2 linked regions of the Lonchura striata genome follow. The protein of the gene in region 1 interacts with the protein of each later gene in a biochemical or structural test. Links are inferred from orthologs where the notes say so. Each region holds a gene or a part of one and is shown in the gene's direction. Other genes may lie near its edges.

Region 1 (7,535 bases):
AATGAACTTGAGCATCATGAGAGCACAGAAACTGGAAACTGGCTGCTTCCAGTGAGACTGAGAATGCTGCTTGTGATCCTGTGAACTTTTTGGTTCACAACTCTAAAGCCATTCAGGGGCACTTGGAAACCATCCTGTTAAAGGAAGGGAGTTTTAATTATTGCTCTTGTGCTCAGAAAAGCATGCAATGAGTATTTAACTCACCTGGAATTCTTATTGATGTCTAAACGTGGATGTGATCCTCCTGGAGAAGGAACAGCCCTGGGTGGAGGTACATCCCTGTACCCCACCCCTGAGGGGACTAACCAGCACAAATGGTGTCTGGACAGACAAAGAACATCTCCTTCCCCAGTGCTGTATCCTTCCTGAGGAGAGTCAAAACCAAAGTAAGACAGGAAAAGCAGGATGAAACTGGAACACAATCCCTCACTAGAGCATCCCCTGTTTTGGGAGGCAGAACAAGCCCCCAGAAGTGCTTTGCTGAGGTCCTGGTGTAGATTCTGCTCTATTTAAATGACTTTTTTTTGGGATGAACTTTACCGAACACACATGCAGCCTCCACAGCACCATGAATTTGGGGCTGACATTTAATGCCTCGGCACATTTCTTTCCTTGTCCCGTGCAAGGCAATCAAGTATGTCAGGTTAAGAGAAGAGAAAAAGAGGAAAAATAATTACACAGTAAATTAAACAAGGCTAACTCCCTCCCACTTATTATGGCTTCATAAGTTGCTACCTCTGGCTCAAGCTCTCTTGAATACGTACCAAGGGTAACACTAAAAATAGGTCCTGTACTGATGGTTGGGTCACAGCCTGCTAGAGGGAGACATTTTTATTTAATTACAAGCCCAGCAGCGTGTTGCTGGGGGGGAATACATAAACACGCCACTCGAAGCCCGGCTGTAAAGTTTGTGCTCCTTCGCTGAGTCACTGTGGCTAAATTCCCCTTTGTGTGGGGGATTTAGGGGAGGAATGCGGGAAGGCTGGCCCGGGCTGCCGCCCTCCTGAGTCACCGCTCAGCTCATCCTCCAGCCCCGGCAGGCTCAGGGCCCTAAGCCACTAATTAGCCTCATTGTCTTAGGGCTGCAGCATCCATAACCTAGCACAGGGAGGGGGGGGACGGAGGGACAAAGCTCCTGGAAACCCATGAGCTGTATCTCCTGGCAGTTGTGTTCTGTGCGTCACAGCCCACCTCTCAACACTCCCCGAGGGATCCTGATCCACTCCTTCCGTGGGATGGCATGGATTCCGTGATGCCTAAATGCGAGTGCAGCTGTAACCTGGAGCAGTTCTTCTGAGCAGGGAGGGTTCTGGGGCGCGGGGTGCAGCAGCCGGTGACACCATGGTCCTCGTCACTGCTGCCACGTGCTCGAGCGTGGCCGGGCAGCATCCCACATCCAGCAGGGCCGGGAGGCTGGCAGTGTTTCTGCAGTGTGACACGTGTCTGCTCAGCTCTGTCCGAACTACCAGGTTGTGCGGGTCTCCTTTCCCACAGCAGCAAGCAGCCCTGCGCAGCTCCCTCGGGCTGGCTACCGCCGAGCTCCAAAAATAACTTACCTTGGGACCAACTGCAAGGTGGATAACCCGTATCCCACCACCCCGATCAGTTGCGTCCTTGCGTGACTCTCAGGTTGCCCTTGTGCAGCACACATGGGCACAATGAGGGGTCTGTTCCCAGCCCCTCCGCTCCTGGGCTGCCACAACGCGCACGGCTCCGGTGTCTGCGCTCGGACAGAGCCTGGTGCTCATCACTGGGGTTCAGAGGAAGCTTAATGCACCATGGCTGCACGCTGAGCAGCTTTCCTGGGGCTTCCGCCCTCCCCCTTGCAAACAGCTTTGTGTGTTTAGGCTTTTTTTTAAATGAAGTCTAACACATTTAATCATCTTTTCATAAGCTGTCAGCTTGCCGCGCACCAAAGCAGAGCAGCGCGCTCTGTCCCGGCTCCCAGCAAAGCAAAAGTGCCTGGAGAATCCTGCTCCTGGGAGCGTGCACACACACAGCTCAGGAGCTGTGAACTTTTCTCAGGGTCTGGGGTGAGATCAAAAATCAGTTTTTGGAAGTTATTTTGAAACAGATCTTATTTTGTACAGCATCTTTACTCCAGTGTTTCATAATTCAGCTCTGCACCATCAGCGCTGGAAAACTCAGTATACTAGAAAACTCCAAATACATCAAAAGCAAAACACAACTAGTCCTAGGAAAACATGGGAATGTGCCTGTCCCCCACCCTGAAGGTTCTCGGCAGGAGCAGGGAGAACAGGGGGCAGCTCAGTCCAGGGGCAGAGCTGGGGTGGGCACAGCTGAAGTCAGGGCCTAGCAAGCTGGGGAAGTCAGAGCCGTGTCCTTGCGTGCCTGTCTGGGGTGGAATGGGAGATTATGTGTCTAACAGCACTGGAGGAGTGTGTGTGATGGGAAAGGGCGTTTGCACAGAGTGGGAGAAGCTGTTGTTTTGGGCATGATGGAGAGGAGCTGCTCCTCTTCCCTTTCCATTCATACAGGGTGGGTGATGCTGGGGCACCTTCTGGCTGAAGTTGTCTCCCAGAATGTTTTTTGTGGACTAAGCATCCTGAACAAGGAATTTCCTTTCTTACTGTAATTGTGGAGACTGCTCAGTTTTACTCTCCTCTCCACACACTAGCTGCCTCTTGGAGAAGCATCCCAAGGCTGCCCTTGCCACTATCCCTCAAAATACGGGCTGCACATTGCCCAGTCCTTGTCTCCCCACAGACCTGGTGCTGCTGGCCAGGGTATTTCCCCGGGAGAAGCAAACATTCGTGTCTCCCTGTCCAAGTAACTGATAGGTCTGAGGGATCTGAATAGATCCCAGATTTTCCTGGGAAGGATGTCCATGCTTCACCTGGTTCTCACACAGAAGGCCCTTCCTGAGGAACCACCGACTCAGGTTTAATGCTGGAGGTTAATAATAATCACACCAGGCAGCACATCATTGCACCGTATCTGGTTGAGAGATTTACAAGTGAAACTCGTGGCGGAGGAAGAAATTGCCTCAATCACTCGGAGTAATGGCACATGGAGAGGCACTTGGGCGTGACTGCTACTTAACACGGAGCCCAGCTTGGCTTCATTTAGCTGCTGGTGCCTTTCTAATAAACACGTTACACTACAAGGTGGGGATTAAGATCAGAAAAGTAAATAAATTGGAAACTGATGGGGAGAGATGGGAGGGAAATGGAAGGTACTGAGGAGGAGTGACGAGGGATTGACTCCCATGCCAGCACATGGGGAAATGACCCTGAAGGCCATGGCTGTAGCTTTCCAAGCATCTCTGTGGGCCTCACCTGTGGCCTGCAGGTGCTGGGCAGCCCCAGTGCCAGGGCATGTTGGGTGTCCCTGCTCAGGGTCACCAAGCTGGTCTTCAGCAAACAGCAGCTGTGGCAAGTTGGTGTCTTAAACAATTCAGTAGCTTTTACTATATGTATTAGAGAAGCAAGAAAAAGTGCAATGCACCAGTTGACAGGAAGGACTGGGGGTTAATTTTCAGGATGCTGCCTGGGAATTTAGCCGTGGGATTTCCATTATTGCTAATGGGACTCATGCAGCTTAATTTCATGTGAGCTATACTAAAAACATACCCGTAACTGCCTGCAAAATTTCAGTCCTGAAATCAAGCCTTTTAAAAGTTAGAGAAGGGTAAACAAACACCTGAAACCACAGTGTCTCACCATTTCCTCCTCTCAGCTGTTTGGATTTTAAAGTCTGGAAGAGGGAGGAACTCAAGCAGTTTGAGACAATTAAAAACCCCCATCCAGCAGGCACGCTGGCTGCCTGTGCGGCACATCCCTGCTCTCTGCCAATTACAGCAGCAGAGTTATAACCCCCGAAAAAATAGGAGTAAGCTGATGCCTTACCCTTAACTATAGTACGGCGAGCACGGCGTTATCACACGCGTCTAATAACCCGCGCAGCGCCGCCGTGCATCGTGAGGCCTCCGTTATTAGGCTGTTCTCGTTAAATGACTGCTATCATCTGGTCCCAAAGTACATTAAATCCCATTATAATTATAAACACACTTCCCCATAACGTTCTCCTTAGATTACATTTGCGCTGCTTTACCCCAAGGGTATCTTTGTACTAATGCCGTCCGTGTTTGTTGTTTTAGCTGAAGACACCGGCCCTGCGCTGGCTGTGTCGGTCCACGGGCGCAGCAGAGAGGGAGGGAAGAAGGCAGAGCCGTGCGGCTGCCACCCTGCCCCTCCCGAGGATTGCACAGGGTGCGCCGGGCGCGGGCACGCCAAGGAGCTGAGGCACTCCTCGGATGCTCGGGGCACGCAGTGCTCCCTCCGCGCGTGGCCCGCTGCTCCTGCCGCCGCCTGGTGCTGCTGTCGGTGTCACGGTGTGGCTGGCGTCTCACCGCGCGTTTCGCTCCCTTCCCGAAGGGGACAGAGCCCCACGGCCCGTCCTGGGGTGCGGGCACCCGCCACATCCCTACACACAAGTGGCGCCGTCACGGCGTCAGTATTTTACCGGGGGGGCAGGGGGGAAAGGAGGACAAACCGGCTTCGTCGAGGCGACAACGTGCTCGGTGTCACATCATGTCACGAGCACCGCAGCTCCCGGTCGGAATCCGGACCCCAAACCGGGCTCCGAGGTTGGTTTTCACCGTCTCCAGCCCGGGGCCGGGTCCGCCCGGCGCGGGGGCGGCTTTGTCTGGCGGGGGCGCCGCCCGTCGGGGCGCGCAGCCCCGCTCGCGGCGGGCCCGGGGCAGCCGCGCCGCGGCCCGGGGCCGCTCCGCGGGGCCGCTCCCGGTGCCGCCGGGCTTCCGGGTGCCGGGCTCGCCGCCGCCTCCGGCTCCTCCATGTTTGTTGTCGGCAGCGCTGTCCAGCCGCCGCCGCCGCCCGCAAGGTGCGGGGCGCGCGGGGCGGGCCCGGGCGGGGGCGCCCGCACTCAGCGCGGCGGGCGGGGGCGGCCGCCGGTCGGTGGGTGGGTGGGGGCGGCCTGACGCGGGCGCGGGGCGGCCCGGGGGCCGGCGCCGCCGTGATTTGCTGCGCGGCGCGGCGAGCGGCGGCGGCGGCGATGAGAGCGGGCAGTGCGAACTGCCGGAGCAGCCGCCGGCCGCCGTGAGTGCGGGCGGGGGGCGGCACCGGGGCCCCCCGCGTCCCCCGCCCCGGGACCGCCGTGTGCCCGCGGCTCCGCCGCTTCGCCGCGCACCTGATGGGGCCGCGCTGCCGGCGGGACGGGGCGGCCGGAGCTGGAGCCGGGCGGCGGCGGGGGATGCGCACCTTCCTCTCCCTTCCTTCCCTCGCCTTCCCCGGCCGGCGGTAGCGGGAACGCGGCTCCGGCAGCTGCGGATCCGCCGAGCAGCGCGGAAACTTTTGGGCGAGTCGCTGCTAGGCTGCGGGCTAACTTCCCTCTTCTCCCCGCTCCCTTCTCCCCGCTCCCTTCTACTCCCTGCTCCCTTCTCCTCTCCTTTCTCTCCCCGGCTTTCCTCTCTCCCCCATCTTTTTTCTCTTTCTTCCCCTTTTCTCTCTCCTTCGTCTCTTCCCTCCCCGCTCCCCCTTTCCCGCTCCCCTCTGCTCCTCTCCCCCTCCGCCTTTTGTTTTCTGCAGATAGTCGGCACACAAAGCTGGTCCCAGATTTGAGCGACGGCGAGACACCCTGATGTGTGAGCCTGGGGCGCGCCATGGATCTGACTAAGATGGGGCTGATACAGCTGCAGAACCCCTGCCACCCCACCGGGCTGCTGCACAAAGCCAACCAGATGCGCCTGGCGGGGACGCTGTGCGACGTGGTCATCATGGTGGACAGCCAGGAGTTCCACGCGCACCGGACCGTGCTGGCCTGCACCAGCAAGATGTTCGAGATCCTCTTCCACCGCAACAGCCAGCACTACACCCTGGACTTCCTCTCGCCAAAGACGTTCCAGCAGATCCTGGAGTACGCGTACACTGCCACCCTACAAGCCAAGGTTGAGGACCTGGATGACCTGCTCTATGCTGCCGAGATCCTGGAAATTGAGTACCTGGAGGAGCAGTGCCTGAAGATCCTGGAGACTATACAGGCCTCCGAGGACAATGACACCGAGGTCGCTATGGCTGATGGAGGTGCCACCGCCACCACTGAGGAGGAGGAGGAGAAGAAGTCAAGGTACATCAAGGGCCTCTTCATCTCCAAGCCCACTGGTGAGGAGGGTGGCTATGCTGGCATGGCCAGCCAGAATCTGCTGGCAGCCACAGTGGAGCAGAGCCCCTCTGCCTCCGCATCCTACTGCTCCCTCTCTTCCATGAGCCCCACCAAGGCGGCGGTGGACAGCTTGATGACCATCGGGCAGTCACTGCTGCAGGGAGCCCTGCCACCCAATGCCCCCGAGGACTCACGCTCTGCCACCACCCGCCGTCCCTCTGGCCTCGCCGAAGTCAAAACTGAAGCAATGCAGGTGGATGAGGCCTCCAGCCATGACAGCCCCCGGACAGCCGAGCCCGGTGCCTCCAGTGGGGAAAAGGCTGACGAGAAGGGCAAGGAAGGACCTGGCACCCCGACCCGCAGCAGTGTCATCACCAGTGCCCGTGAACTGCACTACACCCGTGAGGAGGGTGCCGAGCCACCCCCTGAGCCTGGCCAGGGGCTGCCACTGGGGCCGGAGCCGTCTGCCGCTGCCCCGGGAGAGAAGCCCTTGGGCATCTACTCCCTTCTGCCGAACCACAAGACTGAGCCGGTGCTCGGCGTGCCGCCCACTGCGGCGTCCGCCCTGCATGTGCAGCCGGCCCTGGCTGTCTCCATGGACTTCAGCGCCTATGGCGGGCTGCTGCCCCAGGGCTTCATCCAGCGGGAGCTGTTCAGCAAGCTGGGGGAGCTGGCAGCCGGCATGAAGACGGAGAGCAGAGCCCTGGGTGAGCAGTGCAGCGTGTGTGGGGCAGAGCTGCCGGACAACGAGACCCTCGAGCAGCACAGGTGAGTGCCGAGGCCGTGCTGTGGCATGCTGCACCGGGCAGCCAGGATCTCGCCAAAGGGTTTCGGTTTCTGGCTGAGTGTCACATGCGTTGGTGCAAAGTTTCCATCAGGTACCCCAAAACCAGCTTGTGGAGTAGCATTCTAAGAGGGATAGCTGTTGGCAGCTTCCCCGAATCTGGTTACCGTGCCAGAAGGTTCCTTCCAGTGAGTGCTGGCTGGGAACAGCCCGGATGAGCTGGGGCCGTCGGTGTTTCCTGCGAGCATAAACACCACCAGTTTCCCTGGCTGGCATCAACCAAGTAGCTCACAGTTGCTACCCTTTGAGTTGGGGGATCTGCGTGTAGAGAGAAGCAGTGGGGACAGGCAGCGCTCGCCCGCTCTGCTGAGATCTGGTCCCCCCTGTGCCAGTGCCGGGGCACGCCAGCGCGGGCAGTGGTGTCAACATGTGTTGACTTGCCAGCCTGGGGGGTTTTGTGCCGCTCAGCTTCCCGGTTTATGAAACATTTACACTTCGCAGAAAGTGGCGCGGGGGTCAGGCTGGGTAACGCCGGGGCGAGCGCAGAGGGCTCGGGCTGCCGCAGAGCCGCGGGTCTGTCCCTGCGGGAAAGGTGAAGGGCTGAACCTCC
Region 2 (7,265 bases), on another chromosome or scaffold:
GGGTCCATCTTTGAGCTTAGCATGGGGCTGGCACTGGCAGGGAGGGGTTTGGGTGGCTCAGAGGGGCCTGCACTTGGTTCATGGTGTAGGGGCAGCTGGGCAGACAAAATGGTCATGTCCCCATTCCTGCAGACCCACACCTCTCTAAGGTCTGATCAGGGGAATTCCAACCAAAATGAGGGGAAAGAATGGTTCAGGTTTGAAGGGACCTTAAAACTCACCTTATTCCAAGCCTTCCACCATGGGTGGGGTGCCTTCCACTATCCCAGTTTGCTTCAAGCCCCTTCCAGCCTGGCCTTGGACACTCACAGGGATGGGGCAGCCACAGTTTCTCTGGTCAATCTGTGCCTTGCCACCCTCACAAGGAAGAATTTCTTCCCAATATCCCATCTGACACTGATCTCTGGCAGTGGGAAGCCATTCCTGCTTGTCCTGTCACTCCAGTCCCTTGTCTCAAGTACCTCTCCAGCTCTCTTGCAGCCCCTTTAGGCACTGGAAGAGGCTCTTAGGCCCTGAGCCTTGTCTTCTCCAGGCTAAACAACACCCCACCTCCCTCATCCTGTCTCCATAGCAGAGCTGTCCCAACAGAGCTGTTCCAGCCTTTGAATCATTTCCATGGTTTCCTTTGGATGTGCTTCAACAGGAGCTGGATGTGGTGCCCCAGGGCAGTCCCACACAAAGCAGAACAGAGGGAGAAGTCCCTCCTCACCGTGTGGCCCGTGATACAGCCCAGGACACACTCGCCTTTCTGGTCTGCCAGAGCACAGCGCTGGCTGATGTCCCCTCTGTCACCCAGCAGCACCCCCAGTCATTTTCTGCAGGGCTGCTCCCAGCCCATCCATTTCCCCAGCTGCGCTGGGGCTGGGGGTGGCCCTGCCATTAGCAACGCTTGCTTGGAGTCAGAACAGAAGTGTCTTGAGCTGTTTTCACGCTCGGGCCATGCCAAATATTTTAATGCCGGGCACAGACAGAGCTTCCCTTTGTCGCGGTGGGTGGGCGCTGGTCGTGCTGCACGGGCAGAGCGTGCCCGGCGCTGCGGGCTCCTGCGAGGGGCAGCCGTGCGGGCACAAGGGGCTGGTGGTGGGGAGGGATCCCACAGACACTCCGACCCCGGGTGAACACCCACTGCTGTCCCCAGACTGCTGTGGCCCACGTCCCCTGCCCCTGCCGGATGGGTGCCAGGGGGCTCGGGGATAACCCAGCCCCAGCGCAGCCGCTGGAGCCTCGGAGAGGCACCAGAGAGGAGCAGGAGGAAGGGCGCTGTGCCTGCCTGACATCTTGCCCTCTCCCATGAAATGAAGTCAGCCCAGCTGGGCACTGGTGGGGCAGAGCCCTGTCTTGGGGCTGAGGCTGGGGAACAGCCAGCCTCGGGAAATGCCCTGGCTTCCCAAAGCGTGGCCCAGCCAGCCTGGCTCTCGCAGGTATCCCTACCTGGCCATCTCCCTCCACTCCAGCCCCGCCGGGGTGCTGAGGAGCTGGTTGAGCTGGATGAAGAGCAGCGGGCAGGTGACATCCCCCCTCTCCTCCCACTGCAGGGTGGCACCAGCTCTCCGAGCCGCTGTGGCCATGCTGGAGGGGAAGATGCTGCAGCCGAAAGTTTGGGAGGGAGCTCCAGGATTGCTGCTCTCTAGTCGGGGCTGTGAGCAGCTGTCTGCTGCCCGGAGAGCTGTGTCACCTGTCCCAGGCATGTGGACTCGCATGGCCACCGGCACCGGCAGCTACAGGCGTGGGCTCCCCTCCAGCACTCACAGGATCCCACTCATCCCACACCTTATAAGAGCTGTGAACAGGTTTAAACTGGCCACAAACCAATACACCAGAGCCAAGCCCAAAACAAGCATCCCAAAACAGCAGGGTCAGCCCCACAGGTCCCAGTATGGTTGTGTCCTGCCATGTCCAGCTGCCCACCTGGGCCAGGGACCAGGGAACCCACCTGCCTCCTGCAAGTGACCTGGGTGGACAGGGAACTTCGTGTGTTCCCAGCCCTGTCTGCAGCCTGCAAGGTGCTGGTGAGGGGGTGGCAGGGCCAACCCTGGAGAGCTGGTGGCAGTATCTGTGCCTGTGCAAGGATGCTGTGCCCATGGCAGGAGGAGTGACACAGCCCGTGGCAGCTCCTTCTGGGAAAAGAGAATATGGGGACATGCTCTGGGGAAGGACGTGGCACTGCTGGGCAAATCCACAGTGGGGAAATAAGGGGCTGCCAGTGGCAGGGCTGACGGAAAGGACTGGGAGGGCTCCGGGGCAGTGATGGTGTTCAGAAGGCTTCTGCAGGCAGTGAGTGGATGGAGGGGGAAGGATGTGGGCACAACAGCAGCACTCTGCAGGGACAGGGACAGGGACAGGGACATGACAGGGCTTGAACAGCACTGCCAGCAGAGAGCAGCCACGGTGCTCGCTGTGCCCATGCCATGCCCACCACCACCACCACCACGCTTGGCCCCTCGGCTCCCCGCAGACAAACCGCGGGGCTGTGTGCACTGCAAACACGGCGGGGACACCGCAAACACCCGCGGCTCCGGCACGGGCCGGCTGTGCTGGAGCCCGCTGGACCCGACAGGATCCAGCCCCAGGAGCAGCTGGAGCAGGGCCAGGCACCACCACGGCAGAGTCACGTTTTGGGGAAGGACGGCTGGGAGTGTGGGTTCCTGAGGTTCTGGTACCTGCCTCGCAGGAACTGAGGCCAAGGATCTGGCCCAGGGTGTCCAGGCTGTTTGCTCTGTGATACCAGCAGGTACCATGGTATGTGGACGTGTGCCCTTACCGTGGGGAGATCCTTGGCAGAAGGACCCATCAATAGGGAGCATCAGGGATGCCCTGAGGCACCCAAATCTTCCTGGGGTTCATTTCCCCCACCTGTGGGGGCTGCCTCAGCAGCATGAGGTGGGGCATGACTGGCAGCAGACACGGGCAGGGAGGCTGTGAGGGGCTGCAGGAAGTGGAAAGGGGTCATGGGAGGCTGTGGGAGGCAGAGGGGAAGAGGCAGCAGGAGGCAGAGGCAGGAAGCAGAGGCAGGCAGGATCAGCAGCCTGCACACATCCCCCCCACCCTGCCAGTCCTCTGTGCCAGCTGCCTCCCTGGCAGCTGACGTGAGCTGGTACCTCCCTCTCCAGAGGTGTCAGGGCAGCTGGCAAGTGCTGCCCACTTACACTGCCCGCACATACCCAGCCCAGCCTTGGGGACATGGTGGGGGACTGGCAGGGGCAAAAAAATTCCATCCCAACAGGGGGACCTCCCCAGGAGCCAGTGTGCAGATCTGCCCAGGGACACAGCCCCTCACCCGTGCCACCAAAGGCTTTGGGCTCCTGATGGCCCGAGGAGGCGGAAGGAAAAACATCCAGCAAACAATTGCAAAAGTCAAGTCTGAGCAAGAAGGAGGGTGTGAGCGGGGGGGTGCCAGATCCGGTGGTATTCCTTGGAGACAGCAACAACAATAGCAGGAATATTTGCTCATGCCTAGCTGACCCCAAACCAGCCATGGGCTCAGGACCTCGAGGAACCAACCAGGGGCCTCTGTTGGACCCTGCACTCACCCGGCATTGATGTCAGTGACATTTTCTACATTGTCACCTGTGCTGAGGATGCGGCCAAACACAGCACACGGTTGCCAGCATGGTGAAGAGCATGGGGAAGCTCTGGCAGTGCCCAAACACAGCAGGCTGGGACAGGGACAAGGACAGTGCCTGGCTGGGGGGGCGCTGGGAGGTAAGGCTGTGACTCAATCACTTGGGCAGCACAGGGGCACAAATGGGGTCTTGGGAACAGAAAGGGTCTCTGCTGCCATCTCATATTGCCACCACCTCCCTGGTGAGACCTGCCGCTGGTGCAGTGGCACATGGGTGTCAGTCTCTCCCCTTTCTGAGGGTCATCCCATCCCCAGGGCCAGGAAGAGGTGCAGTCCTGACTCCTGAGGTCCTGTCTCACGTGATGCTCGTCTTGTGAGGTGCACTCGCTCTCCCAGCACCCTCGGGCCACCTCGGCCACCTGCCTGGGGCCACGGGGACCACCGGGATCCCCCTCCTCTCCCCCTGGCTGGGGCCACACTTCCCCCTGGCCATCTCCTGCCCTCCGTGCTCTGCAGAAACCCTTTGCTCTCCGGGCTCTCTCCACTCAACCCGGCCCGCCTCCGGAGCGAGGAGAACACACCGGGCCCGGGCCAAGGTCCCGGTCCCAGCCGGCGGGACGCCCCCGGGGACGGTGGGGAAGCCCTTCCCGGGGGCGGGGCGGTCGGTCAGCCCCTCCCTGCCCCGCCCCTCCGCCCCTCCGCAGCTTTCTATACGGCGCGGGGCCGCCGTGCCGGAGAGCGGGCATCGCTGCGGGACCGAGCGGAGCGCGGCACTGGCTGGACGCGTGTGCCCGCGGGTCATGGACGGGCGGGCGGTGCTGATCCAAGCGCTGCTGGCGGCAGGTACGCGCTCGCGTGGGGACGGTCCCGGGTGCGGGCAGCGCATCCCAGCGCCGTGCTCGACTGGAGAGTCCCGAACATGTGCGGGGATGGTCTTGAGCAAGGCGGGCATGGCCGGTCCTGGGCGCCGGCAAAGCCGTCCTGGTCCCGGGTGTGGGCAGAAGGGAAGATCGGTCCCTGTCCCGCGTGGGGGGTCCCGGGCAGGGCAGTGTCAGCCCCCACTCCTGACCGCTCTCTCCGCAGTGTGCTCGGCGGCGGCGGGCGGGCTGCGCCGGGACGAGCTGCACAACGAGGTGCTGCACAAGGGCGGCGGCGGCGGCGGGGTGCCGGTCCCGGCCACGGCGCCGCTGCTCGGCGGCAGCCCGGAGAAGGACGGAGGCGGAGCGGCCTCGGGGGACGACTTCAGCGAGCTGCCGAGAGGTACGGACGCGATAAGGGGTCCCAGGGCGGGACGGGCTGGGCTGGGGGCAGTCGGAGCCGGAGAGGTCGCGAAGGTGCCGGGCTGAGCTCGGCTCAGTCCCGCAGATGTTCCGGCAGCAGCTCCGGCTCCGCTTCGGAGGGACTTGCAGTGGTGGGTGGGAGCGGTCCCAGATACCGAGCCCCGGCGGCAGCAGACCCGAGTGGGAGTAGCCTGTGGGGCAGCAGCACGGAGCAGTGCCGCTGCTGCCAGGGGCTATCCGTGTTCCTTGCAGTCGCCTGCAGGGCGGGTTCCAGGGGGCCCCGGGTCTGAGCTGCTTGGCCAGGAGGAGACGGAGCCCCTCGCGGCGGGGTTGCCGTGTCCGGGGACCCGCGCTGCCCTCCCGGTGGTGGCGCGGGGACCGTCGTGAGTCACCGCCGCCCACGCGCGGCTGCTCCTCATTCCGCGGCAGGGCTCGTCAGCCGGCGGCCTCGCCACGGGGGCGGTGGGGGCACCGCCGCTCTCTGGGGCTCCCGAGCACCCACGCCGGGCTCCTTGCCCCGGGCTGGCACCAGAGAGTGTTCTGGGGTCTCTCATGGGAGTTGGACGGGGGGTTGAGGGGGTGACATGTACCTGTGCCTCGCAGACGCGGCGTGCCGAGGGCAGTACCTGGCACCAGGAGCGTGCTCTGCTCCGTACAGCTCACCCTCCCATTTTTCCGTGTTTTTCTTTGCTTTCTGGCTGTGCCAGCAGACTGTAACAAAAAGCCGGCAAAACCGGGCTGAGCCACTCGCGCCGGGGGGACTTAGCCCTCGGAAAACGCAGCAGTGTGTGTCGGCTGGTTGTGGTTGGGAGATAACCCTCAGGGCAGGAGAGGCAGGGAACGGAGCAGCCTCTGCTGTCAGCCTCATCCGGGGCTTCTCCAAGCCGCAAGGTTTCCTGGAGTATCGGTTTTCTCCAGGCGCAGCGTGGAGGATGTCGACATAGCTTTGCTAGGTGTGCAACTGGTGTGTGCCAGCACGAGAGGCGCTGGTTCCGTCAAGCAGTGATTGAGTTGTAACCTGGGCAGGTTACAACTTGCCAGCTTGGACTCTGCTGTACTCTCCTCCTCGAGCAGCCCCAGGCTTAATTCACCGGGGTTAATGAGCACCATAGCTCGGGGGGCCCTAAAAAATCCTCCTTGGAGCAGTGAGTGCTCTCCAGCACCTCGTGAGATCAAGCTGCGGGGTGTTGGTTTTATTTTTTCTCTTTTTTTTTTTTTTTTTTTTTTTTCTTTTTTCTTTTTTTTTTTTTTTTTGGCATCTGCATGCTTTAATAATCATTCCAGTACCGTTGCTAGTGTTGAGCTACGTTTGGGTGAGGAGCTTGGTGCTCTAGTTCCACCAACCCAGCAGGGGGCTGATCTGGCACCAAAAGCCGCTGGTTACTGGACCACAATTAAAATATACCGTTGTAATTGATGGGAGTGATGCCCTCACCATCTCTTGGGCTCTGCAAAACCAAAACTTAAGGCAGGCTTGCTCTTTTAATCCTGCCCTGGGGTGAGTAAGGCATCCTTGTGCCCACGGGAAGGAGAGTGCATCAGAGCCATGAATAGGGTCTTAGAAAAGCCTGTGCTTGTCAGGGAAATAAAGGCCAGATAAAGGGGCAATTAGCAGTGTTCTGTATTCAGTGGAAACTGGTGCATATAATAGCAGCATTTGAGATGTATAAAGCTCTGTTCCCCCTGCCCAACTCCCTTCTTTCCTTGAGAATTGTTCTTATGAATTGGAAAGGCCATGATATTTGTGAGGAGCTGAAAAAAATGCCCTCCCCCCAACCCCGGGCTCGGGGGCAGCTCCCAGCACAAAGGGCTGTGGGAGCCATGGCTGAGCAGTTGTGGCAGCCCTGGGATGTGCCTTTGCCTTCCCTTTTGTTGGCACGTGGAGCTGATCTGACTGCTGTTCTCTCCTTCCCAAATTGTTTTTCAGTTGCCTTCCTGTCAAAGCCTCAAGGCCTCGTTACTCCCAAGAAAAAAGGGAACGGCAATAAAAGAAGAAAAGGCAAAGGCCTGGGGAAGAAGAGAGACCCGTGCCTGCGGAAGTACAAGGATTTCTGTATTCACGGCGAGTGCAAGTACATCCGAGAGCTGGGAGCTCCCTCTTGCATGTGAGTTGCTGGCATGTGCTTGTGTTGGGGAAGCTTTAGTCATGGTTCTTTCAACTTTCCAGGCTGGGCAGAGGAAAAGCAGAGATATTTTTAGTGCATGTTCCCCACCCATGCAGGGACAACTCTGACTTAGCCTCTTCCTTGTAATTCTTGAAAAGTGTCCACCCCTTCCCCAAATCCTGTCATGGCCTTAGAGCCAGGGTTCCCTGCCAGCATGGTGAACTCTGGCTGTGCTGGGAACTGCAGAATTGTGTGTAGGGCTGGGGTCTGGCAGCTGAGGGCTTCTGCAGGTCTGATTTGGGAAAGCTCATCCTGATC

The links. The genes of interacting proteins can lie anywhere in the genome.
Region 2: the proteins of ZBTB16 (region 1) and HBEGF form a complex in vitro, tested with the Homo sapiens proteins (2 studies listed by BioGRID). The link is inferred for Lonchura striata from reciprocal best matches to the Homo sapiens genes ZBTB16 and HBEGF.

Annotation. Positions count from the first base shown.
Region 1 is NC_134625.1:10,775,477-10,783,011, forward strand, and holds the start of ZBTB16 (zinc finger and BTB domain-containing protein 16), read left to right. Parts: upstream 1-4,529; 5' UTR 4,530-4,609; intron 4,610-4,965; exon of another isoform or gene 4,966-5,078; intron 5,079-5,567; exon of another isoform or gene 5,568-5,571; 5' UTR 5,572-5,641; coding exon 5,642-6,909; intron 6,910-7,535. UniProt on the Homo sapiens protein: Acts as a transcriptional repressor. Transcriptional repression may be mediated through recruitment of histone deacetylases to target promoters. May play a role in myeloid maturation and in the development and/or maintenance of other differentiated tissues.
Region 2 is NC_134617.1:15,518,876-15,526,140, reverse strand, and holds the start of HBEGF (proheparin-binding EGF-like growth factor), read left to right. Parts: upstream 1-4,247; 5' UTR 4,248-4,362; coding exon 4,363-4,405; intron 4,406-4,645; coding exon 4,646-4,822; intron 4,823-6,769; coding exon 6,770-6,947; intron 6,948-7,265. Other genes in the region: SLC4A9 (anion exchange protein 4), read right to left, coding at 1,432-1,700. UniProt on the Homo sapiens protein: Growth factor that mediates its effects via EGFR, ERBB2 and ERBB4. Required for normal cardiac valve formation and normal heart function. Promotes smooth muscle cell proliferation. May be involved in macrophage-mediated cellular proliferation.